4 linked regions of the Tamandua tetradactyla genome follow. The protein of the gene in region 3 purifies or fractionates together with the protein of the main gene of each other region. This does not show direct contact. Links are inferred from orthologs where the notes say so. Each region holds a gene or a part of one and is shown on either strand. Other genes may lie near its edges. The genes, in order: CNOT10, CNOT2, TNKS1BP1 and CNOT6L.

The links.
Region 1: the proteins of TNKS1BP1 (region 3) and CNOT10 purify together in Homo sapiens (affinity purification with mass spectrometry; 4 studies listed by BioGRID and IntAct, with this or other methods). This does not show direct contact. The link is inferred for Tamandua tetradactyla from reciprocal best matches to the Homo sapiens genes TNKS1BP1 and CNOT10.
Region 2: the proteins of TNKS1BP1 (region 3) and CNOT2 purify together in Homo sapiens (affinity purification with mass spectrometry; 5 studies listed by BioGRID and IntAct, with this or other methods). This does not show direct contact. The link is inferred for Tamandua tetradactyla from reciprocal best matches to the Homo sapiens genes TNKS1BP1 and CNOT2.
Region 4: the proteins of TNKS1BP1 (region 3) and CNOT6L purify together in Homo sapiens (affinity purification with mass spectrometry; 4 studies listed by BioGRID and IntAct, with this or other methods). This does not show direct contact. The link is inferred for Tamandua tetradactyla from reciprocal best matches to the Homo sapiens genes TNKS1BP1 and CNOT6L.

Annotation. Positions count from the first base shown.
Region 1 is NC_135341.1:55,329,610-55,337,205, forward strand, and holds the start of CNOT10 (CCR4-NOT transcription complex subunit 10), read right to left. Parts: upstream 3,005-7,596; 5' UTR 2,908-3,004; coding exon 2,718-2,907; intron 1-2,717. UniProt on the Homo sapiens protein: Component of the CCR4-NOT complex which is one of the major cellular mRNA deadenylases and is linked to various cellular processes including bulk mRNA degradation, miRNA-mediated repression, translational repression during translational initiation and general transcription regulation.
Region 2 is NC_135333.1:138,799,250-138,806,839, forward strand, and holds the start of CNOT2 (CCR4-NOT transcription complex subunit 2), read left to right. Parts: upstream 1-4,578; 5' UTR 4,579-5,303; coding exon 5,304-5,371; intron 5,372-7,590. UniProt on the Homo sapiens protein: Component of the CCR4-NOT complex which is one of the major cellular mRNA deadenylases and is linked to various cellular processes including bulk mRNA degradation, miRNA-mediated repression, translational repression during translational initiation and general transcription regulation.
Region 3 is NC_135335.1:20,264,267-20,271,295, reverse strand, and holds the start of TNKS1BP1 (182 kDa tankyrase-1-binding protein), read right to left. Parts: upstream 3,018-7,029; 5' UTR 2,848-3,017; intron 2,122-2,847; exon of another isoform or gene 2,010-2,121; intron 1,631-2,009; exon of another isoform or gene 1,559-1,630; intron 1,158-1,558; exon of another isoform or gene 946-1,157; intron 1-945. Other genes in the region: FACT complex subunit SSRP1, read right to left, coding at 3,583-3,654, 3,872-4,058, 4,590-4,678, 4,882-5,052, 5,494-5,623, 6,998-7,029.
Region 4 is NC_135350.1:51,038,105-51,046,083, reverse strand, and holds the start of CNOT6L (CCR4-NOT transcription complex subunit 6-like), read right to left. Parts: upstream 3,006-7,979; 5' UTR 2,880-3,005; coding exon 2,875-2,879; intron 2,533-2,874; exon of another isoform or gene 2,235-2,532; intron 1-2,234. UniProt on the Homo sapiens protein: Has 3'-5' poly(A) exoribonuclease activity for synthetic poly(A) RNA substrate.

The sequences.
Region 1 (7,596 bases), on a different chromosome or scaffold from region 3:
TGTAAATATACAACTCAATGGTGTTAATTACATTCAATGTTGCACTATCATCATCTCCATCCACCACCTAAACTTTCCTGTCACCCAGACAGACATTCTATACCCTTTAAGCATTAACCCCCCATTCCCCAATCAACATACATTGGTTGACCTCTAATCTAATCTACTGGTAACCTCTAATTTCTGTCTCTAAAAGTTTGCATATTCAAATTATTTGACATAAGTAAAATCATACAACATTTGTTCTTTTGTGCCGGGCTTCTGTCACTCAATAGGTCTTCAAGGTTAACACTGTAGTAAAGATCAGAACTTCATCTCTTTTTATGGTTATATAATGTCCTACTGTATGTATTTTGTTTATCCTTTCATTGGTTGACGGGAACTTGGGTTGCTTCCATCTTTCTACATTTGTGAATAATGTCTCTATGAATATCAGTGTACAAATATCTGTTGTGAGTCCCTGCTTTCTATTTTTGGGGGTATATATCTAGAAGTGAGATTGTCAGGTCATTTTGTAGTTCTCTGTTTAACATTTTGAATTGCCTAACTGTTTTCCACAATAGTTGTACCATTTTACATTTCCACCAACAAGGTACAAGGGTTCCAATTTCTCTATATCTTCACTGACAATTGCTGTTTTCTACTAAAAAAAAAAAAAAAAATCCATCCCAGTGGGTGTGAAGCAGCATATCACTGCAGTTTTGATTTGCATTTCCCTAATGATTAATGATGTTGAGCATCTTTTCATGTGTTTATTGGCCATTTGCACATCTTCTTTGGAGAACTGTCTATTCATGTCCTTTGCTCATTTTTAAGTTGTATTGTCTTTGCTGTTGCTGTTGAGTTTTAAGAGTTCTTTATATATATTCTGGATATTAAACCCTTATTAGATATATGGTTTCTAAATATTTTCTCCCATTCTGTAGGTTGCCTTTTCACTTTCTTGATGATATCCTTTGATGCAAAGTTTTTAATTTTGATGTAATCCAATTTTTTTTTCTTTTGTTGCTTGTGCTGTTGGTATAAAAGTCTAAGAATCCAAACCACTGACTAAAACAATGTATTGAATGTTTGTTTAAATTATCATAACAAACATGGATTACTCTTTAAAGAATATCTGCTCAAAATTAATATAAATGAGTTTAGAAATTAGGCGAGTATTTATCTTCGGGTGGCTAGTGACCAAAAGATGCGTGCAGAGGGCTTCTGGGGTACTAGTAATGGTTTGGTTCTTAATTTGAGTGCTGATTACATGGGTGTGGTTGGTGTATGAGAATTCATCACACTGTATGTATGCTAATGGCATTTTTTCATAACTATTTATAAACCTGTATTCCAGAAGCATCTCAAAGAACCAACACTCTCAGCAAGTTAAGTTTGGGAAACACTTGCCTGGCACTTGTGAGAAGTCACTAAAGATTTCCAACTTCCTTTTCTAAAGAAGGCAACATGATATAATTAAGAGCACAAGCTTTGAAATCACATCTTTAGTCTAGTCTTTCATTGGCTATCTACCTGCCCTTTATTGGAAATGCTAAATAAACATTAATTCTCTCCCCCCTTTTCTTTTGCCAGAAATAAGGATTCTTGCAGTTATGTTTTTTAATGTACTGACTTCTGCACTTTAAACATACAAATTAACAAATTAATTTAAAGTGGCTTGATTATGGAACAGTTTTTTAGGCCCTATGAAACTCCTTGAAGATCAGAAACCCTTTTGAGAATCATCACTATACTAAATATATAACTTCTACTTAAGAGAACTTATCTAAGCCTTAAGATCTGCCCTACAAAAGGCTTTTTTTTAAATTAGAAATGTTTATTTCTGCTAATTAAAGTTAGCAGATAAATCAGTATTCCATTTCCATCTCAGCATAGTCAAATAAACACTAAGAATTCACTACTAAAGGGAAGGAGGAAAAACTGATAGTTTAACGAACAATTTAAAAAGACAATGTTGAACACTTTTTTTCTATTGAAAGCCAGTAACGAGTTTAATTGCACAACTACCAACTATCTACACACTAGTCCTTTGGCAAAACTTTCATGTGGACAATAAACTGTAAGAAACAATTACTTTAAAATCAGTAAAAATATGACACAGAGTTTCAGGATCTCAGAAAGCAAGATAATGATCTTAGGTTGAAAGCAAAATCCTCAGCTAAACATAAAATTATAATAAAGTGTTAACAATGAAAATTAATACTTTTTTGTTTCTTAAGATCTAAACAGGAAACTAATTAAAAAAATTTATCTTCCCTCATAAGAACTTGCATAATCAGTTTAAATCAAATGCCCAAAATTCTTAGTATGCCTTCAAGTTATCTCTACAGCTTCTTCCAAAATATGCCCATTGTCAGATAATGACATAAATAAAGGACAGAAGGAAATACCCAGTAATTCACCAAGAAGTTGAAGTATAGTGGCTCACGTAGGCACTGCTTTCATTATTCCCCTAGGAATTGTAAAAGTCTAATACTCTCTAGAAAAGAAAAGAACATACATTTCAGAGATCTGAGCTCAATAAAAAATCTTTTTACATATTCTCCAACTATGGTTTTACCTAAATTCTTTTACTGCAGGATGAAAATTTTGTTTTTTTAAAATAGACTTTAATGGGATTTCTATCTTTACTTTCCTTTTATCTTTCTGCACTTTTCAAGTTTTCTGCAAGGATTAGACATTATTTCTGTAATCAGTTTTTAAACTGTTCTTACCAGATAGAATCTGCACATAATTCCACAATATGTCTTTGTTTGTCCCACTGCCAACCGAAAGAGTAAAGGACTGTTCATCCATAAGCTTGACTTTTCTTCCTCTATGACCTAAAGAACATGGCTGACTTTCTCGGCGTACAGAGCTCTTTGATCCACAAACTCTGACACTCTTTAAGCCAACAGACTTCATTTCTAACCAAATAATTCCCTTTATGTTTTAACTAAGTAGAAGAGAAATGCACTCACTGCTTTTTGAAAACTGAAAGAAGCCAGTTAACTGAAAGCTTAACACATTCCAAAACAGAATGTTAACAATACATATCTGATTGGAACATGAGCTTCCCTCCAAGCTGTGCTTGTCAAAATACAGCTCCAATGATGTTTGAGTGAAAAAAAGTTCCCAAAGAAAAAAGAAATGTTAACGCCTAAGGAAATCTAATGCAGAAAACACTTACCAGGCCTTCGTGGACAAAAGTTTTAAATAACAAGGATGCCAAAACTAAATGTCAACAGGTGGGAGGATTGGGAAAGGGGTATGGATTCTTTGTGGAAGAAAAGGAAATGTCTTCTGATAGAGTATGGTGGTGAAGGCATATCTATTCACTTAGGTTGGATTGTATGATGTGTGAATAAAACTATTTAAAAATGAACAGAGAGAAACAAGTGCCAGAGAAAACGCAGAGAAAGAGATATACTTATTCACTATCGGTAGGGAATGAGAGGTGCAGCCGCTTGGAGGGCAGTGTGGTGGTTCTACAGGAGGCTAGGGGTAGGTTTGCCATATGATCCTCAAACTCCATTGCTTAATATATACCTGGAGGAACTGAGTGTGGGACACAAATGGACATGTGCACACTGGTGTTTCTGGCAGCACTGTTTGTGATCCATAATGAACAGAGGTGGCCTAAGGGAACAATGAATGAGGAATGGAAGGGGAAATTATGGTGTACACATACAATAGACTACTGAGTAGCAGCAAGAAGGAATGAAGTTGTGAGGCATGCAACTAGGTGAATGAACCTGAAGAGCTGTACGCTGAATGAAATTCAGGGACAAAAAGACAAATATTATCATGCCTCAATCTTATCAACTAACTATAATATAAAAATTCTGTGAACTAAAGTAGAAAGCCTGGGTTATCAGGTTGGAACTTACTGTACAAGGTCCTAGACTGTAAGCTGTTACAGCTGTCACATATATTCAGGAAGTGTAACTGTTAATTCTAAATTCTGAGATACTGAGCTGTTTGTATATAACACGGTCTTTCCCTGAAAGTTAGAGCTCTGAAGCTATTAAAGTCAGCAGTACCACCAACAAGAACTGTTTAAAAATTTGAAAAATTGATCAGACATCAAGTAGAGATACTAATGAAGCTGATCGGGATAGGACTAAGGTATATCAGAAGACTGGGTAAACGATGATATTGTCCATATTTTAAAACTTCAACTTCTGTGTGAGACTAAAGGGAGAGATATATTTGGGGTTGTTCATTCCCTAATTTTTTTTTTAATTTTGTAAAAAACATTTTTTTGCTTTAGTCTCACATATAAGGTGACATTTTAAAATATTAATTACCATGTATTTGCAGCACTGTGCAATAATGACATTCCTTTGTTCTTCCTCAAGCAAAAACATTTTAAAATTTGTACATTTCATCAATATTATTATACACTCTAGGCATTTCTAGATTATGCCATCTCAATCTTTAACATCTATCGTTCTTTCTGATTTCATTTATGTCCCCAGCCCTCCTCCCTCTATCATTCTCACATGCAGCTTCATTCAGTGTTTTAACATAATTGTATTACAGTTAGGTAGTATAGTGCCCTCAATTTCTGAGTTTTGTATTCAGTCCTGTGCACAGTCTGTATCCCTTCAGCTCCAATTACCCAATATCTTACCCTATTTCTATCTCCTGATGGTCTCTGTTACCAACGAAATATTCCAAGTTTATTCACTAATGTCAGTTCATATCAGTGAGACCATAAGTATTTGTCCTTTTGTTTTTGGCTAGTCTCACCAACATAATGTTCTCAAGGTCCATCCATGTCGTTACATACTTCACAACTTTATTCTGTCTTAAAGCTGTATAATATTCCATCGTATGTATATACCACACTTTGTTTAGCTACTCGTCTTTTTTTTTTTATTAATTAACGGAAAAAAAGAAATTAACCCAACATTTAGAAATCATACCATTCTACATATGCAATCAGTAATTCTTAACATCATCACATAGATGCATGATCATCGTTTCTTAATACATTTGCATCGGTTTAGAAGAACTAGCAACACAACAGAAAAAGATATAGAATGTTAATATAGAGAAAAAAATAAAATAATAATAGTAAAAAAAACAAAAAAACAAAAACCTATAGCTCAGATGCAGCTTCATTCAGTGTTTTAACATGATTACTTTACAATTAGGTATTATTGTGCTGTCCATTTTTGAGTTTTTGTATCTAGTACTGTTGCACACTCTGTATCCCTTCAGCTCCAATTACCCATTATCTTACCCTGTTTCTAACTCCTGCTGGTCGCTGTTACCAGTGACATATTCCAAGTTTATTCTCGTATGTCGGTTCACATAAGTGGGACCATACAGTATTTGTCCTTTAGTTTTTGGCTAGACTCACTCAGCATAATGTTCTCTAGGTCCATCCATGTTATTACATGCTTCATAAGTTTATCCTGTCTAAAAGCTGCATAATATTCCATCGTATGTATATACCACAGTTTGTTTAGCCACTCTTCTGTTGATGGACATTTTGGCTGTTTCCATCTCTTTGCAATTGTAAATAACGCTGCTATAAACATTGGTGTGCAAATGTCCGTTTGTGTCTTTGCCCTTAAGTCCTTTGAGTAGATACCTAGCAATGGTATTGCTGGGTCGTATGGCAATTCTATATTCAGCTTTTTGAGGAACCGCCAAACTGCCTTCCACAGTGGTTGCACCATTTGACATTCCCACCAACAGTGGATAAGTGTGCCTCTTTCTCCGCATCCTCTCCAGCACTTGTCATTTTCTGTTTTGTTGATAATGGCCATTCTGGTGGGTGTGAGATGATATCTCATTGTGGTTTTGATTTGCATTTCTCTAATGGTCAGGGACATTGAGCATCTCTTCATGTGCCTTTTGGCCATTTGTATTTCCTCTTCTGAGAGGTGTCTGTTCAAGTCTTTTTCCCATTTTGTAATTGGGTTGGCTGTCTTTTTGTTGTTGAGATGAACAATCTCTTTATAAATTCTGGATACTAGACCTTTATCTGATATGTCATTTCCAAATATTGTCTCCCATTGTGTAGGCTGTCTTTCTACTTTCTTGATGAAGTTCTTTGATGCACAAAAGTGTTTAATTTTGAGGAGCTCCCATTTATTTATTTCCTTCTTCAGTGCTCTTGCTTTAGGTTTAAGGTCCATAAAACCACCTCCAATTGTAAGTTTCATAAGATATCTCCCTACATTTTCCTCTAACTGTTTTATGGTATGGACCTAACATTTAGATCTTTGATCCATTTTGAGTTAACTTTTGTATAGGGTGTGAGATATGGGTCTTCTTTCATTCTTTTGCATATGGATATCCAGTTCTCTAGGAACCATTTATTGAAGAGACTGTTCTGTCCCAGGTGAGTTGGCTTGACTGCCTTATCAAAGATCAAATGTCCATAGATGAGAGGGTCTATATCTGAGCACTCTATTCGATTCCATTGGTCGATATATCTATCTTTATGCCAATACCATGCTGTTTTGACCACTGTGGCTTCATCATATGCCTTAAAGTCAGGCAGCGCGAGACCTCCAGCTTCGTTTTTTTTCCTCAAGATGTTTTTAGCAATTCTGGGCACCCTGCCCTTCCAGATAAATTTGCTTATTGGTTTCTCTATTTCTGAAAAATAAGTTGTTGGGATTTTGATTGGTATTGCATTGAATCTGTAAATCAATTTAGGTAGGATTGACATCTTAACTATATTTAGTCTTCCAATCCATGAACATGGTATGCCCTTCCATCTATTTAGGTCTTCTGTGATTTCTTTTAACAGTTTTTTGTAGTTTTCTTTATATAGGTTTTTTGTCTCTTTAGTTAAATTTATTCCTAGGTATTTTATTCTTTAGTTGCAATTGTAAATGGGATTCGTTTCTTGATTTCCCCCTCAGCTTGTTCATTACTAGTGTATACAAATGCTACAGGTTTTTGAATGTTGATCTTGTAACCTGCTACTTTGCTGTACTCATTTATTAGCTCTAGTGGTTTTGTTGTGGATTTTTCCGGGTTTTCGACGTATAGTATCATATCGTCTGCAAACAGTGATAGTTTTACTTCTTCCTTTCCAATTTTGATGCCTTGTATTTCTTTTTCTTGTCTAATTGCTTTGGCTAGAACCTCCAACACAATGTTGAATAATAGTGGTGATAGTGGACATCCTTGTCTTGTTCCTGATCTTAGGGGGAAAGTTTTCAATTTTTCCCCATTGAGGATGATATTAGCTGTGGGTTTTTCATATATTCCCTCTATCTCATCTGTTGATGGACATTTTGGCTGTTTCCATCTCTTTGCAACTGTAAATAATGCTGCGATAAACATTGGTGTGCAAACGTCCGTTTGTGTCTTTGCCCTTATGTCCTCTGAGTAGATACCTCACAGTGGTATTGCTGGGTCATATGGCAATTCTATATTCAGCTTTTTGAGGAACTGCCAAACTGCCTTCCACAGCGGCTGCACCATTTGACATTCCCACCAACAGTGAATAAGTGTGAATCTTTCTCCACATCCTCTCCAGCACTTGTCATTTTCTGTTTTGTTGATAATGGCCATTCTGGTGGGTGTGAGGTATCTCATTGTGGTTTTGATTTGCATTTCTCTAATGGCCAGGGACAATGA
Region 2 (7,590 bases), on a different chromosome or scaffold from region 3:
AGCAGCCAGCCCCAGAATGCCCAGTCTTCTGGGAGAAAGCACTGCCTTGATGACTTCAAAATCAAGACTTTTATTCTTAAAAATACAAGCAATAAATATCCATTGTTTAAGCAAACCCATTGCACGTTTTTTGCTTTAGCAGCCAGGAAACTAAAAACCTGGCTTTAATAGAAGTTTATTTTTTTCACATCAAAATCTGGATGTAAGGTGTGCAGAGCTAGTATAGTGCTCTGATGCACAAAGTCCTCAAGGTTCCAGGTCTACCAGTTTAAGGTACTACCATCCCTAGGATGGATGAATTTGCATATGGCCATACATGGAAACTAGAATTACAGGCAATCACATCTTCATTTCAGGGTGCAAAATATACGAAGAGGAAAAGAAAACAAGGGCTAAAGGTGTGCACCGGATATATTTTTAAGGATGGTTTTGAAAGGGTGCTACATGACACTTCTGCTTATATTCCATTGGCCAGAACCATCTCATGGCTACAAGGAAAGATGGAAATACAGTCTTCATTCTGGACTATATCCATTACCATGAAACAAATGGAGCAATTTCAGGGAACTAAAAGTCTCTGCTACAGATTGGAAAGTGCTTAGTACCAGACAGAAATAAAAAGGAGGCAATGGAAAGGCAGGAGAACAAGATGAAGTTGGAGTGGTAGGTAGAAGCCATATCATGCAGACTTGAGGGCCATGGTAAAGAATTTGGATTTTATTCTATGTGCACAGGAAAGCCACTGAAGGGTTCTAATGAAAAGAGTGACATAACCTAATGAAACTGATTACTCTGGCTATGTAGAGAATGATTTGAAGGAATTAGGGGCAAAGTGGAAGCAAAGAGATAGTGTGGATATTGCAGTGGTCCAGCAAGAAATGACAGTGGCTCAGACAGGATGATGGGATTGGAGGTGAAGAAAAGTAGCTAAATTCAGAATATATTTGTAATTAAGAGCTGATACTGGCTGATGAGGTCAGAGTTTGAATGTGAGGGACAAGAGGAATCACAGAAGATTCCTAGTTTTACACTAGAGTGTTTTATGGAAATGGGAAAGACCAGGTGAGAAAAAGGTTTAGGGAATAAACAAGAGGAAGTCAAATGTTCCCGTTTTTTTTTGCATGAGCAGGCACCAGGAAACGAACTGGTTTTCCGGCATGGCAGGTGAGAACTCTACCTGCTGAGCCACTGTGGCCCACCCAAATGTTCTGTTTTAGACATATTAAATTGAGATATCTGTTCTTTCTATCCCTTGTTATAGTGAAATTTTCAGTATTGGTCCACCCCTTTTAAAATATGGAAGACTCTTTTCTACAATAGTTATATAAGGTACATGTTCTAGTTTGCTAGCTGCTGGGATGCAATATGAAAGAAACAGAATGGCTTTTAAGAAGGGGAATTTAATAAGCTGCAAGTTTATAATTCTAAGGCCAAAGAGATGTCCCAATTAAAACAAATCTATAGAAATGTCCAATCTAAGGTATCCAGGACAAGATACCTTGACTCAAGAAGGCTGATGAAGTTCAGGGTTTCTCTCTCAAGCGAGAAGGCACATGGCGAACACAGTCAGGGTTTCTCTCTCAGCTGGAAGGGCACATGGCAAACATGGTGTCATCTGCTAGCTTTCTCTCCTGGCTTCCAGGTTCATGAAGCTCCCCAGGAGGCGTTTTCCTTCTCCATCTCCAAAGGTCGTTGGCTCATGGATTCTCTACTTCGTAGTGCTGCAGCATCTTCTGCTCTCTCCAAATCCTCTTCATTCTCCAAAATGTTTTCTCTTTTATAGGACTCCAGAAACTTCTCAAGACCCACCCAAATGGGTGGAAACATGTCATCATCTAATTCAGCTTAACAACCACTCTTGATTAAACTACATCTCTAAGGAGATAATCTGATTAGTTTCAAACATACAGTATTGAATAGGGATTATTCTACCTTTATGAAATGGGATATACATACACCCTTTCAAACCAGCACAGTAGATAAGGTATTTTTTTCCCTCAGCCTACATCAGTAGTTTTCCTATAAAATGTAGAGGAATCTACCTTACATGTATTTTGAAAATATACAAAATACATATCTATAAGTACAGACTATTTTTCAAGTACAAGAAAAATCTATTAAAGAGAACAGAAGGGCAAATTTGTTAAATATTAGCAATAAACTTGTTAACGCAGAAGGACAATTTTTTATATGTACCATTTACTGACTGCTTACTAGCAAACCATAAATATACTAAGCCCTTAACAAATGTTGACACATTTAATACTTAGAATCACCCTCTAAGGTATGCATTAAAGACATTTTACAAATTTGTAATCAATCGGACACAAGCAATAGGACAATTAAAAAACTCTTCTTCACCAAGGCTAAAAGTGAAGTCATCCTAAATAAACAGTATTAAGTAAGCAATAGTATCAGTGTATTTTCTCCTAACAGTCCTAACCTAGATACTTAAATTCATGAAAATGTTTGCTGTTCCATTTACCTCTTCCAGTAAACAACCCAAGGTAACAAAATCCTCAAATCAGACCTGTCCTGTTTGGAAATGATTTCTCCAATTTTACTAACGTTTATACTATTTAAGACTTGTGCTCTTCTAAGTAAATATAGGAACAGTGAGAACAAGGTACACCATTTGGCCTTAACAGAGTTCTATATGTAAAACAAATTAATAGCTTAACATAGCAAACAATACTCGGTGTTTACTATATGGTTAGAAGCATGCGCCCAATTTTCATCATCTATCTTATGATTCCAAATTACTAATAGTTATACTTTCAAATTGTTAATAGCGAGATTAGAAGGCTCAGTAATGCTGAGTACTATCATATACATATACATACTTGATATGGAGGCATATCCAGTCAGCTTACCGTGGTAGAGGCCAACATCAGAGGAAGAGAAACCAGAAGAGGCCGGAAGGAACTGCTGGGGAAAACGGGAGGAAAGTAAGAACATAAAGAAATGTGTGTTGCTCCTCTCTGAATATTCCTGAAGCAAAAAGCACAACGAAGCAGAATATTTAATGAAAGGAAAGACTAACTGGGCAAAACACTCTCTGGCTACAACAGCATCATTTGGAGGTTAAATAAATTCATACAGTATCTACTGAAAAATCAAAATACCTTGCACTTCAAAGCATGACAATTACCTTTATTTTATAGTAAGCTTATTTTTCTTGTTATTTTTTACTGACAGAGAATCCTTTACTGTTCAATGACAAATTTTAAATTGGATTATAAAGGAATAAAGAGAGAAGATTTACTATTGCAAAGAAAGCTCACTTTGAGCTACGATTATTTTTCTGGAAAGCAGACTAATCCCCTGCAGTTCTCACCAAAGCCACTATAATTTCAAATGCCTTGCTGATGGCCCGGCCAATCACTCAAGTTTACATGGGAAGTGGGGGCTAGAGAAGCAGTAAATACCAAGCTCAGCTAGCGCAAACTCACAAAACAGTGCTTTAAAACAAGCAAACAAACAAAAAACTGCTCCCGCCCAAACTCCTCCCCCTAGATTTAGAAAAAAATAAAAATAAAAATAAAGGAAGGGCAGTGAGTAGAAAATAGCAATGGTTTCGGCAAAGTGGAACTCACTTCTCAGGAGGTGACGGTGACGTGCTGCCGGTGCCTGGAAGTGCGTGCAAAAGCACCGGAGGCTGCGGGGGCTGAGGAAGGACATGTGGACAGCGATCAGGTTTGCTTCAGGTGACGGGAGACAGGAAGGGCACCACTCAAGGTGGACGTGGGAGAACGAGGAATCCTACCCAAACACAAACACGCTCCGCATCCCCAGAGAGGGCTGACTGACGCCACCTCACCATTCCTCGAACCAAGGACCACGGCCCAGTCCGAAGCAACCAGGCCCTAGGGGGACAGTAGTGGCCGCAGTGGCTCCCGCTCGTCGTAACCGCCGCGGACGAGTGACAAGCTACCCAGTGTGTGGGGACAGAAACAGCGGAGGCCACAGAGAGAGCGGTGGAGAAATGAAGAGCCTTTTCTCAAACCCTCTCATGCCTACGGGAAGCTGTCTGCCCACCGCCTAAACCCGATCCATTCGGCAAACGTAGCTCCCACCTCCAGCCGCCGCCGCCGCCGCTTTGAGGGAAGCCGGAGCACGGGGGTCACGGCGGGGGTCAGAGGGTAAAGGTCTTGCTCCCAGCAGCCTCTGCGGTGGATACGTCGCCATCTTGGATCCGCGGGACAAGAAAATTCATGCGGTGAGTTTTTGGCAAATTTTCGGAAGTCTGGCAGCGGGGCACGCGGCGGGGACGGCGGATTCGGGGCCCTCGCAAGGCGGGGGAATGCCTCGGGGCCGGTCCGGTCGCGCCCGGGGTCCGCGGGCAGCGTCCCGGCCTGCAGCTTCCCTTTGCTTTTGTCTCGGCTCCAATCGAGAGGGAGAGCGGAGCGGGCGGGGAGGGGGGGTGGCGGTGGTGGAGGGAGGGAGGGGGTGTGTATGGTGGGGGGGTGGATGGGACGTAAAGCGTCGCTCTGCTTGGGCCGCTGCAGCGGCAGCTTGGGAGCTGAAGGCTGGGTCCCGCCCGCGGATGGCGGGGCTTCCCCTAGATTTGGCTTCCCCAGGCTCCCGCCGCCGCCGCGCTGCTTCCTGGGGAAGAACAGACGGCGGCTGAGGACCCCGGGCCCATTTTAAACAGCGCTACCACCTTCCTAGTAGCTGCTGCGGTCTCCGGATCCTCACATTATCTCGCTACATGCATATCACCCGCAACTTGTGTGTGTTTCTATATGTGTGTGTGTTTGGTGTAAGGTGGGGGGCACTGGATTGGCTAACGGGCCTCAGGCGTCTCCAGACCTTGGGATACCGAAGGCTATAGTTGGTGGAGGGGGAGTGCAACTGTGATGCTGCTTCTCCCACCGCACCCGGAGGGTGAATCTTCGGTGGTGGTGTAGGAACTGAGTCCGATTGGTCCTTGGGCGGCGGAGGAACCCGAGACGCTTCTGTCTGTGAAGTTGCTAGCCTTAGGTTTTCACTTCCGCCGGAGCCTCTTTACCTCTTGCTGCTTTGGCTCTAACTTAAAAGTTTCACGGAAGAAATGAGTGGGCTAGCAGAGGCCCTCGTAGTTCTTACTTGATCTCTGTGGTCCGTCTAGGAGATAGCCTCTAATTCTTGCTAACTATGGTCCATAGCGAATGCGAATTATAATTTTTCTTTAACGAAAGCGTTTTCTAGATTTTAGAATTTGTATTTATTTCAGAACTGTGGGTACGGTGTTCTTACCATAACAGTGTTACATACGGGTACCACTCTCGGAAGGAACCTAAACATCAATTTCGAATCCTAGGATGCAGCTTCACTTTTTAACATCCAGAAGACGCGGTGCAAACACATTCTGTTTCATTTTCATATCTTGGTCAGTTGATCCTACTCCATTCGTAATCATCTGAACGATTCCTAATAATTCGATACCCTGATATCAAGCCTTAAGATTTTTGGCTAATGGTAGGAAGTACTGAGCTTACAAAAGCTGTTCATGAGGGAGGCCAGACTTGAATTTGGATTTCAGAGTTGAACGTATTTCCTGTAATGTTTAATATTAGCAATTTCTAGCGCTCTAATCACAAGTGCAACTCATAATTTGCCTTTGACGCAACATAAGCGGGAATAATAAAGTATGAGGTGGGCGGGCGAGATAGAAATTTGAAAGTTATCTACTTACATATCAATTTTTTGTTGCGTTGTTTGGGAATACTTGGTATATTCTACAACACTTCTTTTGCAATTTTGGAAAGTGGCTTTTCCCAGATATATAAAGGACTGATTGAGAATCACCGCACTGAAGTAGTTAACGTTTCAAAATCTACATTCACATCTCTTTCATTTGCAATGTTTCTTAATCATTAGTAAACTTTGTAGGTTGAATTCCTCTGAAGTTTGCAGTTCTTTTGTAATATTAAATGCTAAAGGAAAAGGAAAGTAAAATGCTTTAAAAAGACAAAATTCCTTACACTCCATCCATTTTTTACTTGACTTTGTGATATGCTCAGTTAATTTTAAAAAGGTGGTCTCCCCACATTTTTTTCCTGAGAGTCTTTCATTTTAGTGATTTCTGTGACTGCTTTGCTATTTTGACAGGAAGTGAGAAACTGTATTTTACATTTTTTGCATCCTAAATAATCCTGCATCAACATAAGTAAGTTAATTAAAAAACCATTTGTTGGCAGATTTTGTTCAGTAAGTATATAGTAGAGATTTCTGTGGCCTAATCTGATACTGTTAGGGAATGAGAGTTGCCTGTATATTTAACTAACCAAAGAATGAAACTTTTTTTTAATTTTCAATTTCTATAACACTTCCGTTGCAAATTAAATTAATATGACGGAAAAATGAAGGCCTAATGTATAAGTGTGAGTAACTGTATCCCTCTCTGTTTGAGTACCTAATCTTGAAGCTAAAATAAGACTCAGAATGACATGCTTACCTAAAAGAATGAGAAACTTGTTTTAATACTTTATAACTTTAGATGTTTGATTTACTCTTTTCATTTTTCAGAGATGCTTTAGTAGTTATAACCTGGAAATTCTCTTTGTTCAAAAGTAAATCAATACTTAAGATTTATGGTGACATTTCATTAGAAATGCTTCTGATCCATTTGTTTTGTTTTTTCTCTCTTCAGTAGACATTGACATTCCAAGTAATTGTATTTTGAAAAACAATTGTAACATTTTTCAGATGCTGTGGGAAGTTAGTTTTGCCCTTTTTAGTGACAAATTTGCTTAAGATTTTCTGATAATACAGAAAAATTTTAAAACGTTTCCGTTGTATATATGAAATAATGAATAGATATTAATAGATTAGTAGAAACTTAGTTTATAATTTTTTTGTTCTTTGAAAAGCAGTGTTAAATGATAATAGTATTTTTTAATGTCTTAAAAAATATTTAACTGTAGAAAACTTAGTTATGATCATATATTTAAAAGCAAATTTTATCACATGTGCCTGCCTGAATAGGCATTTGAAGACAACTTATGCAAACATTGATACAGTCTTCCTTAGAAGAAAGATACTACTGAATATTTATGATTTTATTTGTTACCTGAAACTCTAGTGGATTTTGTAACACAAAGAAACCGAAATACTAGGTAGGGAAGTTTTAGAGGCAGAGTCAATCTGAGTTGCACTGTAATATTTGAATAGAATTATATACAATATTAATAATTGCACATCAAGGGGCCTACCTAGTGGTATGATTGTAGTCATTCAGATTGATAATACAGGTGATTGTTCTTACTAGGGATGATTTCTACCTGTGGTACTTATAGGAATTGAATTCATTATGATATTTTGGAAAGAGCTCTACTAAGTTGATGTTTATTAAAAGGAAAAGTACTGCAAAAACAATGAAATTAAGGTTTTACATTTCAAAAATTATTTTTGAATTTATACCTTGGTTTTGTTTACTGAAACTTTCCTCAATATAAATATATGTTTTCTGTTTCTTGTATTAGTTTTTCTAATAAAATCCTTGTATTTCTCTTGGAAAAACTCATCTCTTATCACAAACATGCTATACTGATATAGCTTGTTGATTTATATACTATTGTCTATTTTATTAGGGATGACCTGGATTTA
Region 3 (7,029 bases):
TGAAGGGGTCTTAGGGTGGGGGTCGGGGGGAGACAGCAGCTCTGGGGTAGGGGTCATTTGGGTAGCCCTTCTCCAAACCTGTAACGGGAGCTGAGGGATCTAACAGACCAGGGTTCAAACCAGGCCTGGTTCCACCACTTTCTAGCTGCAAGACCCTGGGTAGGTGGCTTTCTTTTCTAAACCTCAGTTTCCCTATCTGAACATGGGGGCTAGTAAGGCTGCCTGGAGGCTTAAGTGAGATAAGACATGCAAAACCGCTTAGCACAACCCAAGTGCACAGGAAGGAGGCCCAGTCAATGTTGGCCATTTTGTTCTTATTCCGTTTGCAATGTCACCAAGAAGCTTCAAAATCCCCGGGAACCACCTCATCTCCCCAGACCCCAAGCTGCCAGCATTCCCAGACCATTTCTTCATTCCCACACGCCCGCCTGGGCCATGTTACCTGTCCTCCAGATACTCCACCACCTCCTCAGTTCCCATCCCACCCACAAGAGCCCCCCCCCCCCACCCCAGCACTCCACCCTGGTACTCAGAGCCTTGGCCCTCTATTCAAAAGGAAGGGGAAGGGTTTCTATCACCTGGGACGTGCAACCTGTGAGGACAACCCAGCAGGAAGCATGTCCTCCCTGAAAGACATCCCCATTCCAGCGCGTCTGGGAAGATACCCCCAAACTCTAAGAAGCCACCTCTGTTGCCCAACCTTTGCCAAGCCCACCCCACCCACCTTGGCGGTGCCCCAGTTTGCTTCAGAGATGGGAGAGGGTGTGAGAAGGGTAGAGGGGAACCCAAGACTGCCAGCAGGGTCAGTCTGCCAAGGAGCACCCAGGCCAACCCGTGGGGGGCTGGGAGAATGGCCGTGCAGGGCGGCAACCAAGTGCGCGTGGAGGAAGGGCTCGTGGCAGAAAAAATAAAATTTAAAAACACAAGACTGTTTCCTTGTCCTTGAACGTTATTACAAGGGACATGGTGTGGGAGATTACCAATGGGGATGAACTGGCCCCGAAACGACAGATACTTTCAGCTGGGGGCCTGATAAGCTCCTCCAGGATGTGAGGGGCTGGCCCAGATGGGGGTCGGCCCACAGCGGCTCCGAGACCCCGGCCAGGGGACCCCAGGTGGTCAAGGCCCTAGTCAGAAGCTGCAGAATCACAGCGGCGGTGAGCACTCCCCAACCTCCCGAGTCCGGGGAAGACGAGCCCACCCTTGGGAGTGAAGGCCGCCAGAAGGCCTGAGGGTGGGGGTGGGGGGCACTGGGCAGCTCCAGCCCCGGGCGGGAGCCCCGAGGGGTCTCGGTGCGTGGGGGAAGGGTGGGGGGTGCGCCCCTACGGACCCTGGGATCTCCGGCCAGATGCCGGGCCAGAGAGGTCGCCAGGGACAGCGCGTACACTGCTGGAGGAGGGAGGACCAACGGCAAGACGGAACAGCCCGGGGCGAGGGGCCGTCTGGAGGGGCCCAGTGGGAAGCTCTGGACACAGAGGGGGCGGCGGCAGCCGAAGCGCAGGAGGAGGAGGAGGAGGAGCGGGCGGAGAAAGAGGAGGGGGCGACAGAGGCGGAGGACCTGTGCGCGGGATACCAAGCAGCCGGCGAGCAGACGACGGTCTGGGGACGCAGCCCGGGTGGGGGGCGGGCTGGGCGGCTGGGGGCGTGCCGAAGGAGCAGGGGCAGTGTGGGCCCCGGGTGAAGGGGAGATGGGGGGGGGTCGCCCCGGCAGCAACGCCCGCCCCCGGCCCCGCCCCAAGCCTTCGCCCCCTCCCCCTCCCCCTCCCCTCTGGCTCCGCCAGCACGAGCTCCAGCCCGTGCGCCCGCCGCCCCCATACACACGCGACTCATCTCCCCCCGGGCGCCCTGCGACCCCCGCGCCCCAGGCCCCGGCAAACTTTCCCGGCGAAGCCCCCTCCGCTCCAGCCGGGGCTCGGGCGGGCAGGCACCCACCCCCTCCATGCCCCTCCCCCGCCCCTGCCCCGGACCCCGCCCCTCCCTCGCGCTCCCGCCCGTCCCCGGTCACTCACGCGCTCCCCAGGGATCTGGCTCCGCTCGGCTCGGCGCCCCGACGCCAAGCCCCGCCGGCGCCGCCGCTGCTACCGCGGTCACCGAGGGACCGAGCTAGTGCGAGCCGCGGCGGGGCCCCGCCCCCGGCCCCGCCCAGGCCCACGCCCCCGGAGCGCCTCCTGAATATTCATGAGCCAAAGCAGAGCCGCGAGTGGGAAGCCGGTGCCGCGCTCGCACGGCCGGATGCAGACAGAGGCAGCCCCGTGCTCAATTATTCATGAACCCTGCGAATGAAGGGACCGCCCCGGGTCCAAGCCCCGGCGAAACTGACGCAATTCGGTAGCTAAGAGCTTTGGGCAAAATGGCCACCGAGACGGCTGCCTAGAGAGGACAGGAGACTGCCTTAGGACAGCCCAGGACTCAGCCCCAAGCCGCCTGTGCACATTGCAGTGCCATAGAGTCACGGCTACGAAGACGGTACCCGCTGGAGGACTAGCGAGGTTTCCTGTTGCGTCCTCCCGGGACTAGAAGCAACGTGGCCGCCCCACGTGCGTAAATTCACATTTATACCCACCGTAAGGACTTTAGCAGCTGTTTTCCCACGAATCCTCCTTATTTATTTCCTGTTAGGCTCTCTTCCTAGATACAGGTACTTTCCAACCCCCAAATTTAGGATTCCTCCTTCCTCCAGTAAGAACAAAAGCTTCACACATTTCACACCTTCCCTGCACCCCCATGAGGCGCGCACACCGCCCCCCAACACCCATCACTCCTCCTCCCCCAACTCTCCAGGCTCAGATTTCCACTCCCCCTCACCCCTACCCTTGTAGGGAGGCTGATCAATCCTGATTGAATTACCTAAAATCTTGGAAGACCCTTGACTCATAGGTGATGAAGGATGGAGCCAGGAACTGCCTCCCATCAGCCTGGCTAATGGAGTGGAACTGTGAGCAAGACTTCCTAATCACATCAGCTCTCATTTCTATACTCTCAGGTGGCCCATTCTGGCAGAAGAGGTTGAAAACCAATGCTTGGCCAGTCGGGAACAGGACAGGATGTACCTGGAGACCTGCTTCCCAGCTGGCCAGCAGGCCTGCCCAATCAGGGCACTGCAGGAGACAACACCAACAGTAGTAGGGCCAATGCAACAGGGCCAGAGAGAAAGCATAAAAACATGGTTTCCAAAGTCAGTTCCCTTTATTAAATGTTTTTTTTTCACAGACCAGAAATACAAAATAAATGTAGAAATATGCCCCAGTTAGGAGCTACAGGCCTAACCTCACGCGACCCCTGCTGCAGCAACTTGAACAGGATAAGCAGCAGCGAGTATCCCTAAGGCTGAGGAGCTGGACCCCACATTGCCCTGCCTCCCACCCAGTGTCTTCCCAAATTATAAAGAGCCAACCTTATGAGGGAGCAGAGTAAGACGCCTCCCCTGCTGCCCCAGTGAAGTGCGTCCAACCAGGAGAGCTTGTGCAGATGGCACAGAACTCCAAGGACTACATTTCCTGTCAGGAGAAAACTGGTACTAAAGCAGGGATGGGAGACTGGTGGTGCGACAGGACAAGCAGAGAAAGAGAATGTTCCTCCTCTTTAGTCATCGGATCCTGACACCGAGTCTTCTGAGCTGGGGGGAGTACTGGCTAGTTCCTCTTCTTCAGAATCCTGAAAATCAAAGGCCTCTTAGGGGGAAGGGTACTGAGTCCTGGCTGCCCTCCCAGCCACTTCTCAGTAGCGAAGGGCCCCCAATCCACCTTCCATCCGCCTTCAGAACCTCAGAATTCCACTCATTCACTCAACCTCCTTTACGCTTACAGACCAACCACAACACCTGGCCCAGGAACATCCCCCCGGATGCCGCTCACCACACACTCCCACACACCTCACTCCGCCTCCTCTTCTTTTTGCTTTTGTTCTCTCCTGAAGAGCTTTCGTCACTTGACACAAACTCTTTACTCTTAAAGCTTTCACTTAGCTGCTTGGATGAAGACTTAGACGATGAGCTCCTAGAGGGCATGGATTTTTTTTCCATCTTTACCTTTACTTTCTTCTTCTTTTTTGACTTGTCCCTGTATTAGCAAGAGGGGAAAAAAGGGGTCGGCCTTCAGGCTCCTTCCCATCATCGCCTAGGCCAAACCTCTCCTGGTCTTAAGAGGGCCCTTTCCCAATCCAGGCAATGTTGCCCAATTCACACGACATAAACTGTCAGCCATGTTAGTCCAAAGTGTCCCAGGGAGAGAATCCTAAATGAATACACCAGAAGAAATGGGTCACAGCTTGAAGCAGTTCCACCTGCAAAACTTATCATCTTGAACAAATACATGCACATTTTGCATTATGTTCCATTATAATTAAAACAAACAAACAAAAATGTTCCTTTACACCTTCAAATAAAATCGACCATCCAGGGAAATAGTCCATGTTTATCCGGTGGCTTCAGCAACCCCCGAGAGCACATTAACCTTGCTTGGGAAGCTGCCCACCCCCAGCTTTGAGAAGTACTGCCAGTCAAATATCTGTAACATCTCCACTTTCAACTCTGACCTGCAGAAATCTCTGCCAAAAAAAAAAACAGATGCCATTTTGTTCCAGAGACTCACCTCTTAGAAGACTCGCCCCGGCCCCCTTCATAGTCTTTCATGGCTTTTTCATATTCCCTCCTGGCATCCTCAGCCTTGCGATCCCACTCCTGTCACTCACACACACACACACATGTGAGAGGGTAGAACAGAGAATGAGACCTCTTCCCCCATGGAGGCAAAACATCCTCTACAGAAATTTTCCACCAATGGCCCAAGTGTGCCCCCTGTCCCAATTACAAGACCCTCACCCCACCCCACCCCAATAAAGCCCTTCTCGCCAGCCCTGTAAACCCTCCCCTGTCTCTGCTACCTCTTTCTTCTCCTTGGACATTCCCTTCCAGATCTCGCCCGCCTTCTTGGAAAGATCGGTGATGCTGATGCCGGGGTGGTCTGACTTGATCTTCTCCCGGCTGGCGTTGAGCCACAGCATGTAGGCGGACATGGGCCTCTTGGGCGCATTGGGGTCTTTGCCTTTTTTCGCCTACACGAGGGAGGATCCAAATGCCTCCAGACATCCACTTCCCAGACACTCCCCGCCCCCCCCATTCTCCCACAGCTATTACTTAGATTACCTACTTGGGTTTAAAAAAAAAAAAAAGGGGGACCAAAGAATAGCAGGCCACAAAGAGCTTCCCGAGGGTGGGCAACAGCACGGCTTCTCCCCTCAGCATTCCAGTGCCTAGCTCCGTAGGGGCCCCCTTTTCTCTGGGCCTGACCCCTGATTCACATGGCCCAGGAGCTAAACTTTACCTCAAGGGCAAGGACCAGAGAGAAAAACTTCCAAGAAGATAACCCTCAATGCCCTAATCACTGGCTACACAAAAGCAGCCCCAGGATGGCCGATCGGCAAGTTCTGTTGGCGGCAGATGGGAAGTGGAGAATGGCTCCCCTCACACCCTCCCGTCTAGAGCCAAGTCTGCACCTCCACAGGCTTCTTGCGACTCTTGCGATCCCTGGCCATTTTGGCCTTCTTGAGCTGTTTCCGCTTCTTCTCCTCCCGGTCACTGTCGCCCTCGTTACTGGAGGAGCTGGCAGAGGCGTTGCTGTCGAATCTGCCAAAAAGAGCGGGACTCAGATTCAGGAAGGGAAGGCAGCACCCTGCAGCCTCAGGACAGGAGGAACACAAATCCAAAGACCCCTGCCTAGAAGAGAGGGAGAAAGACCGCAGGGCAGCCTCTACCACCGATCGCCAGCCCTGCCTCCTCCCCTTTGCTGAGGGGGCTTCAGCCATCTTCTCCCCAGTCCTAGCCATGGTAACTGGTTATTCGCTCAATATGTTAAAAACCAAACAAGCCAATGGGCTCTAGCTGCTTTCCTTAGTCATCGCCTAACCCGGTCCCTTCTCCATCCCACACTCCCAGACAGAAACGTCGCCTCATACTCGTCCAGCACGTCAGCACTTCCTTGTGGTTAATCATCTTCATCTACCCTCTAGCCTTTGCTGATGAAGGCTGAACTCTGTTGCTACCAGAAGTGGGAAAGGCCAGCCTCAGTTCCACCCACGTAGTTAACACCTGCCCAAATACAGACAGAACTCCTCAAAAGATGATGCTTACACCTGTGGGTGCTGCAAAGTCCTCAAGGAACTTTCATAAGCTTCTGCTCACTCACCTTCCTAAGGATGGGGCAAGCAGTGCTAGGAGACATCAGTATTTCTGCAGCCCAAATATTCATTCCCAATACTTGTGGATTAATACAGTCTCAATTTTCTGTTGAAACTGCCTCTCCCATACTCAGAAGGGGCTCACCCCAACTGCAGGCTCTAAAGGCCCTGCACACCCTGTTATCTCAGGCTCAGGAAAGGGTATGTGACCACACTGCTCACTACCATTGCTCTGAGAGAAGGGGCACACTGGATGCTAAACCAGTAAGACTAAGCCTGCCCACAGCTGCTGGAGTCCACTTGCGACTGCATGAGGCAAGCTGCCTAGAAATAAGGAAGCCAAAAAGCAAGAAATACAAACAGATTCCCCACAACTTTTGAAGGCCAGGTCCAGTAGTGCCTGATACAAGTTATATCCCTGCACTCTCTAGTTACGTGAACTTATAAAATTCTCTCTTACACTTAAGCAAGTTCGAGTTGTATTTCTGACACTAACAATCAAGAGTCTTGGCAAAAAAAAGCATGGAGGGACTTACTGTCATTTTACAGATGATGAAGCTGAGCCTTCATGATTTACCCAAAGCCACCCAGTTGACTCCCATTCCAATCTCTCCCCACTGTGCTGTGCTAGCTTCAAAATGCGCCTTGCACGTACAAGGGCCCTGACTATTTTTGAAGCACCTCTCAAGTGACCTTGCTGGACACTCCTTTTCTGCCCTGGGTCAGTGGCTAATGCTGGGACAAGAGAAATGCCCACAAATCTTCTCGACTCTTAAGCTTACAGGCCACCATCTCACCCCCACAAGGCGCAACCAAAACCTACTCCTCTGCCACGTCTTCTTCCTCTTCACCTGG
Region 4 (7,979 bases), on a different chromosome or scaffold from region 3:
ATCTCTCAGTTACCTTTACCTTAAACTACATACCAATCTTTGCCTACCAAAATACGGCTAAAATTTAATGAACACATTTATTACTCCACACATAGTAGTAAGAATGGAAGATTACTGTAAGGTAAACATATAGAAGATTTTAGCTTACATTCTGAAAAATATTCCAAAGAGTTCTGTTTAGTGGAATTAGTCAACATGCACTAAAATAATTACACAGCAATTTTTGTATACTTTGTGGATTTATATAAATAAACTCTGGTTCCTTGGTTCTTTTTAATGATTGATTTATTGGAACACAGATGTACTTACATAACTTTAAATTTTTTCCAGGACTACATAGCAAGAACTAGTAAAAAGAATAATGAAAAAGAGCTGGGCTATTTGCAAACAGAAAAAATTAAGTATGACTATTTCTCTATAAAGTAGTATATTAGGCTATTTTAATGGCAATCTATTTCTAGAAAAACAACTTCCAACATACAATATTCAAAAGCTGTTTATATATATATATGTACACACCTTATGAAAATCAAAATTCTAAAATGTTCTGTTTAGATTTTTTAACTTATAGTTGCATAATATTGCTTTGGTAAATGAGTATCTGTACTCATGTTTTTCAATGAGTAATTCATTGAATATTACTCTGTAATTAAGGGAGATAGAGTAGAAGGGACCTCAACACCGAATATTCCCGAGATTTGCTGCTTTGATTCACTTTCCCTCGGGTCCCCCCACCCGCCAGAGGAGAATGCTTGCAGTTCCAACGCCAAAATAAGCCGTCGCCTCTCCCTCAACTGTTTTTCAAATCAGTAATTCACAATATCATCACTTAGTTGCATATTCATCATTTCTTAGAACATTTGCATCAATTCAGAAAAAAGAAAAAGACAACAGAAAAAGAAGTAAAACAAAAACAGAAAAAAAAAAAGATTATACATACCATACCCCTTACCCCTCACTTTTTCATTGATCACTAGCATTTCAAACTAATGTTTTTCAATGCCCATAGTCAGGGCTGCAGGAGGAGGAACTAAAATTCAAGTAAGCATCTAAAATGTGCCAAACATGTTTCTCTATCCTCATAACAACTTTACTATGAAGGTTTTAATTATCCCTCTGTTACAGATGAGAAAACTGAGACTTACAGATATTAGGTACCTTGCCTAAGGTCAAACAGATAAGAAAAAAGGCACAGCTAATGTTCTTAGGTCTGTAAAACAAATCCTCTTTCTACTAAATTGCATGTGAAAAGCTGTTTTTCCAGTAGTGGTAACAGAAAACAGCTCTCAGTCCCTCACTCCCAGTGAACAGCATGCATTATTTCTCTGTCAGACCAGGTTTAGAAAAGAGCAATCTCTGGCCATTATACAGAGCACTGACTACAAGTCTGTATCATGACTTCTAGTTCTAGCTAAATGAGCTAACTAGATACAAATGGAACCGGGGCAGAGACTATAAAGTAAATCAGCAATAATTATCCAAATACCATTTACATTTGGTTTTAAAATGCACTATGTCCCTATTGGCAGATTTATCTTTATAACTGCGTTTTATTTAAACTACTCTCAAGAATAGCTTTCCATGAGCACACACAAAACACAACAGAGGCCACCTAATCTTGGTTTTAGAGACTAAGGAAACTGTGAGGAAAAGGTGTCTGTTGTGCATGACTATCTTGATTGACAGTTAAGATAACTAGGGGCAATAGGTAGTCTCTCTTAAAAGGCAGTACTGTACTGTACTTTCAATGTGTAGAAACGGCTTGGCTAAACTCCCCGAACACAACTCATCTAAACAGCCTGAGCTAAACAGTCAGCGGAGTTAAGGAGGATGACAGCTTCAGTAACTTCCTCTTCCTCATCAACCTCCCTCAGCTTAGCGTGTACACGCCTTTCCCCCTAGGAGGCAGGCTAAAACAATTTCAAATGCACAAAATCGATCCAAACCCACCAATACCATAGGCCAGCGAGGCCAGCTTCCTTTTCTTCTCGCGTTCCTCCATAAAAACATAATAATTTTAAAAGCATTCATTTTACCAATGAGAAGTATTTGCAAAGAAAAACGCAAATATTTACTCAGTCACTCCACACCCCTTAAGGGAGATAGAGTAGAAGGGACCTCGACACCGAGTATTCCCGAGATTTGCTGCTTTGATTCACTTTCCCTCGGGTCCCCCCGCCCGCCAGAGGAGAATGCTTGCAGTTCCAACGCCAAAATAAGCCGTCGCCTCTCCCTCAGCAGACGCGGAGGCGGCTGAGGCGACTAGAACAGGCGTGTCCCGCCTCCGACCCTCACCTGCCCAGGCCGAGGCAGTGCCCTGGGCCCGTGCCGGCCTGACGTCCGGGTAGGCGTCCCGGGAGGCTGGCGGGTGCCGAGGCAGTTAGGCCGCGCCGCAGAGAGGCGCGTTTCCTGCCGCCGCCCGGGAAACCGCGGCACGGCCCCAGCCAGCAGCTTTCCGGGCCGGGTCTCACCCTCCCCGGCCCACGCCGAGCGACTCCCACCAGCGAGGTTCGGATCCCTCAACCACAAAGGGTGAGGCACACGCCACTCGGGGGTCCCAGACACACGGAACCCACCCCCGGAGTCCGGGCTGTAAGCGTCGACCACTCCCCCCCACCCCCCCACCCCCCACACACACTCACACTCAACCCGGAACCTCCTCTCGCCTCCGGACTGAGACGCGGGTCAGCCTCATCCGCCCTCTCCAGTCACCCGACACACACCCACTCGCGGTGGGTCCTCGGACCTCCTCCCCGCCCGCCAGGGTCCAACTCGAACACCACACACACATTTGTCCCACTCCCATCTCATTTGCCCGAGAACGCGCTCTCTCTTCCTAACACCCGCGATCCTACTCCTTCAAAAACATTCTACCTCATTCTCTTCCTCTGGCCCAGAAGGAGCAACAGCAGCCATTTCCCCGTGGCGGGGGAAACACACACAAACGCGCGCGCGCGCACACACCAGGCTCCCACAGATGCTTCCCCACCAGAGCCGCGGCCGCAGACGCAAACACAAACACCCACGGGCGGGCCTCTCTCCCGCCCGCCCATAGGAAGCTACCCCGGCAGGCAGGGCCCGGGCTCGCGAGCGGGAGGGTGCACAGGGCGCCCGAGCCTGGGGTCGCTGAAAGGCCTGTGCCCGGTCCTCACCTGCATTCAGCGCGCCGGGGTCCGGGCGGCGGCGGCGGCGGCGGCGACGAGGCGGCTGGTGCTGGTGCTGCGGCGGCGGGGGAGGCGGCGGCGGCGGTGGCGGCGGGGCTGAGGGCAGCAAAGACATGCAGGCAGCCCGCCGGGGAGAGAGGCACCGGCCGGAGGGGACGCGGGGCAGGCGGGCCGGGCCGCCCGGGGAACAGCAGAGGCGACGGCTAGGCGGACGGCTGAAGGAGGCGAGAAGGAGACAAATCCCGGGACCGGGAAAGGGACGAAGGCCGGGCCGTCGGGCTTCAAGGAGGTTGACCCTGGGCGCGCAGGAGGGGCCCTGCGGCCGCCGACGAAAAGGGCCCCGCCGGAGAAAAGTGCGCCCCCGCCAGCCGCCGGAGCCGCTGCTGTTACTCCAGGAGCCGCGCAGAGCCTGGCCTTGGCCTTGGCCTCCTGGCGCTGGAGCTACAGTCGCTGCGGGGGTTGCTGCTGCGCCTGCTGCTTCTGAGGCCGAGCCTGCTGTACAGAGACGCCAGCTTTCGGTGCCTTCGCTCTCGCTCGCAGACGTTCACACCCCCGAGGGCCGGGGGAGAGGCGTCCGGGCGATATCGGTATTGAGATTAATAACAAGGTGCAGAGAGTGCGAGAAGGAGGAGAGTTGATTGACGTGGAGGGGATGGCGGGAGTCAGTCACTCCCCTGCGCTGAGGGGTGGGGTGAGGGGAAGGAGGCGGAGCAGCGCCGGGGCGGAGCTCCAGCGCCGCGTCTTGGCCCCGCCCTTAGAGTACTGTGTACTACTGTGCTGCGCGTGCGCCTGTGGTGGGCTGGGATCTTTCCCCTTTTCTCTTTCACGCTTGCTGTTTTCTTTCTGTTTTCTTGGCTTAAGTGACAAGCAGAGCTGGGAAGGTTGGTGGGCTGTCAAAAGCAAGCAAACACAAAGCCATCTTGACGAAACCGCCTCGTCCGGTATTATTGACTGGACTCAGCGTTGCGCACTCACCTAGGGCGGCCTGACGGCGGAGCCAAGCGTTGGCCTGGGTGGCTAATGAGACACCAGGTGAGGTGATCGAAGAAAATGCTTCTTACCTCATCAGTAGGCTTTTTCAAAATGTGGAACATATGTGAGTTGTGTAGTGAAAGGTAAATGAAAGAACCTGTGACGCTCTGCGATAACCCCGTCCCATTTTCTAATTCTCCTTTCTCGCGATAGAATTACCTTTATTTGGCAGTTTTACCAGTGGCCGCTACAGAATGAAAATATTAAAATGTAAACTAGAAATACTAAGGTTTACTTGGTGCATGTGATGTTGACATTTTAGTTTCCTGGGGCTTAATTTTGTTTTTGTGCGTCAGCTTCTACTTTTGCCACTAGCAGGTCCAATAAACAAAGCTACACTGGCTCTGGGGCAGATACTGATGTTGCAGTTTTGCACAATTTCAGTCTCTGGATGCATGCTTCAAGCTTGTGTATTAACCATTGTTGGTCAAGGGTATATTATTAGTGTTCAATAGTTTTTCCCACAAGAATGTTATTTAGCACACCAAGCACGTTGTCCTGGCTGCAATTATCTCGGGCCCTGTTATTGAATGTAAAATGCCTTCATCCCTTGGGAAAAAAAGGTGCGGTGAAATGCAAATCATTGAACCAGAACTGAAAAGCTATAGAAAGAATCCACCACTGCAGAACAATTCCAACACTTTCTCTTTTTCACCAGAATGTGTGAGTGATTGAAGAAGCCTGTCAGGACAGATAAGGCCTCTGACTTTGTTTACTTTGTTTTCCATGAAAGTTAAGTTTCCATTTCCCTCCCTAGCAATACCAGACCGTGCCAACTTCTGTAAAAGGTGTCAAAATGGCCTTAATCCAGGAAAAGTCTCATTGGATCCCAACTATCTTGAGTCTACACTATAAAAATGAATAATTATCTTGGACTTTGTCAGCAACAAAGCCAAACAGGTCATTTCAGGATCCGGAATGGTTAACCTGCCTTAATGGCATCTTGCCACAGCCTTTCTCCTTGTTACACAAACTCTCCTCCCCAAAGAGAAATACTACCAAATGCTGAAGTAAAGAGATACGCTCCAAAACAATATAAATCTGTTCATATTAAGAGTTAGGAATAATGGATTTTACTGTTAAAAAGGCCAACTGAATATAATTTAAACAGTGTTCCACTCTCAGGGATGTTCCCTTTATACCGTAACAAACAGATTGACTTACTGTAAACAGAAGGAAAACAGTACATATATTAATTAGTATAACTGCATCATCTGTAAAACAGAGTGCTGTTTTTCTCGTTTTTAAATAGTTGGCAGCAGACAAATTGTATTAGCTGAGAAATTAAATCATTGTTGTTATCAAAAATTACTCCCTCATAAGACTCCAATCAAAAGACAAATACCAGCAACAACGACAAAAGAGTAGCACTTTAGCCATTAAAAAAACCAGCAGTTTTTAGTAGATCAAGGTTTAGAACAAAAAAGCAACCTGTTTTTGGTATCTTTTCAAATAAGGTTTTCATTAGAATTATTCATGTTTGTCAGATATTATTTTTATTAAGATTAGACATAAGAAGACATCTACCATAGATGTTTTCATCCAAAGAAGGTGGCTTTACTGATTGCCTCTGCTCTCTGTGTCCATCAACACTCTCTTTCCATCATCCTCCCCTTTGTTCTTTACCCCAGAACAACCATGGGTGATATAAAGAACTACCTTAGCCAAAGACAAACATTTTCCACCATTGGTATTATTGTGCAAAGTTCATCTCCGCACACCCCTTCTCAAGTTTCTTGATCCCTGAGTATTCTGAATCTCCACCCCAACTTTATCACTCTCTCTAGTATTTCTTTATATTCCAGAAATTTTCTACTAGGCAAGCACCGCCGCAACCAACAACAACAATATATAACCAGTGCCTCAGTTTATCAAGGACTTGGAGATAACTGGCATGCCGTCCAATCAATAAAATCAGTTTTACTGCTGTACTCTAAGGATTTGGCAGGTATGTTTCAGTAGCCAACTCGAGTACACAGAGAACAAGTAGGTGGGTCCTCAACTAGAATATCTTTTGTTTTGCGTATTGGTCATTGATTTCTCAGCCAAGTAACCTTCCTTTTTTTTGTGGATAATGCTCCCTTTTGGGGGCAAACTATTCTTGCCTGTACCATAAATAAGTGATGCTAATGGTAACTGTGGCCCACAAGAGTCCCCCACCTTCTTAGGTAAAGGTGGGCAAATTGACTCAACCTGAAGCAAGCAGAATTCTTCCCCAGGATGCATTCAGGGAGAACTAAGGGAAGAAAGGCCATTCCACAGTAGTGGTATATACCCAAGAAGGAAGTCTGAGTGGCTAATGGCCACATACTGCCTTTTATAGAATGAAGCCAGCCACAGAGATGAGAAGTATAGAAAACAAGTCCTGACAGTGCTCCAGTCTCTGTTTCCAGTTATCCCTGAAGTCCAGCTGAACTTTTTCCATATAGTGTATAGTTAAATTAACCTAGTGTATTCTCTTCAACATTTAAAATAACTTGCATTGCATCTCAGTAACCAAAACATCCTAATACATTGTATTTCTGCGTGAGAGTTCTTCAGAGAAGGCTAACTGCTACTAAAATAAGTTTGAAAATCACTGAACTAAATTGCATTAAGACATTAACATTTGCGGAATACTCATCTACCAAATTTTAAAGATCACCTAGTCCTACTTCCTCATTTTCTGAAAGAGTAACTTGAGATAAAATGACTTGCTGAACATCACCCAGGCAAGTCAAAGGCCAAGTCAATGTTAGAAACTGGTCTCTAGATACCTAGTTAAGTTATTCTCTTCATTATACTACTCTGTCATCTGTTCATGGTTCCCAAAGGGATTTTTTAAAGGCAATTACTTAGAAATGCAACCTTAACTGAAAAAAATACAGCACAACAATGGTAATTTCAGACACCAACTGCAAGTGGGAAGATATTTGGTGACATAGAAGCCTTAAAAATGCCATTTCCTCTTTGAGCCCCTCAAAAATTTTTCATTTTGAACCCAAACACACTCTTTGAGTCTTATGTTGTCATATCTACAACTTTAAACTACCATCTTTATGCTTACGACTCCAAATTTACATCCTTAGTCCAGAGTTCTTTCCACACATTCAGATCTAAATTGCCAATTTCTCCCTGGATATTTCCCCCTGGATAATTTATACCCATATTTTGAGCTCAGTATGTCTAAAAGTGAGCTCATTGTCTCTCTTCTAAAATCTGTTCCTGGCATTGAATGACTCTCATTAAATTTAGGAGCACCATGCTAATGGTCATGTAATCACTAAATGGTCATCCAATACAGAATCCTTTTATATTATGGATTAACTTTACCCCCTCATTAAGATCTACCAGTTCTACATCTTATACATTTTCTTTAATCTATTCCCTCTTCTCCGTACTGATGCATTACCAATGTCTTAAGTCAACCTGTCACATACCTAAATTTTGTATTTTGTGTATTAATTTGTATCCCTACTAAGTATAACCCTAACTTCCTCCTAAAACATATTATGTTCATATTACTTTACCCCTTAAAATCCTTCAACATGTCCCCGTAATTGATACAATAAAACCGAGTTTCACGAGCATACATGTTTCTTAATGACTTGCCTCTCTCTTACAGCCACCTCCTACATCCACTTAACCATCATCTCTCATTCCTCCCTTTGATGAACTACTTGTTATTTGGCAATAAAACATGCTATTTCCTTAACATGGTATGCTCCTTTCCATTTTGTCCTCCTGGAAATCATCCTTCAAATTTTTGCTCAAGCAACATTTCCTCTGGAAAGCCTTCTCTAA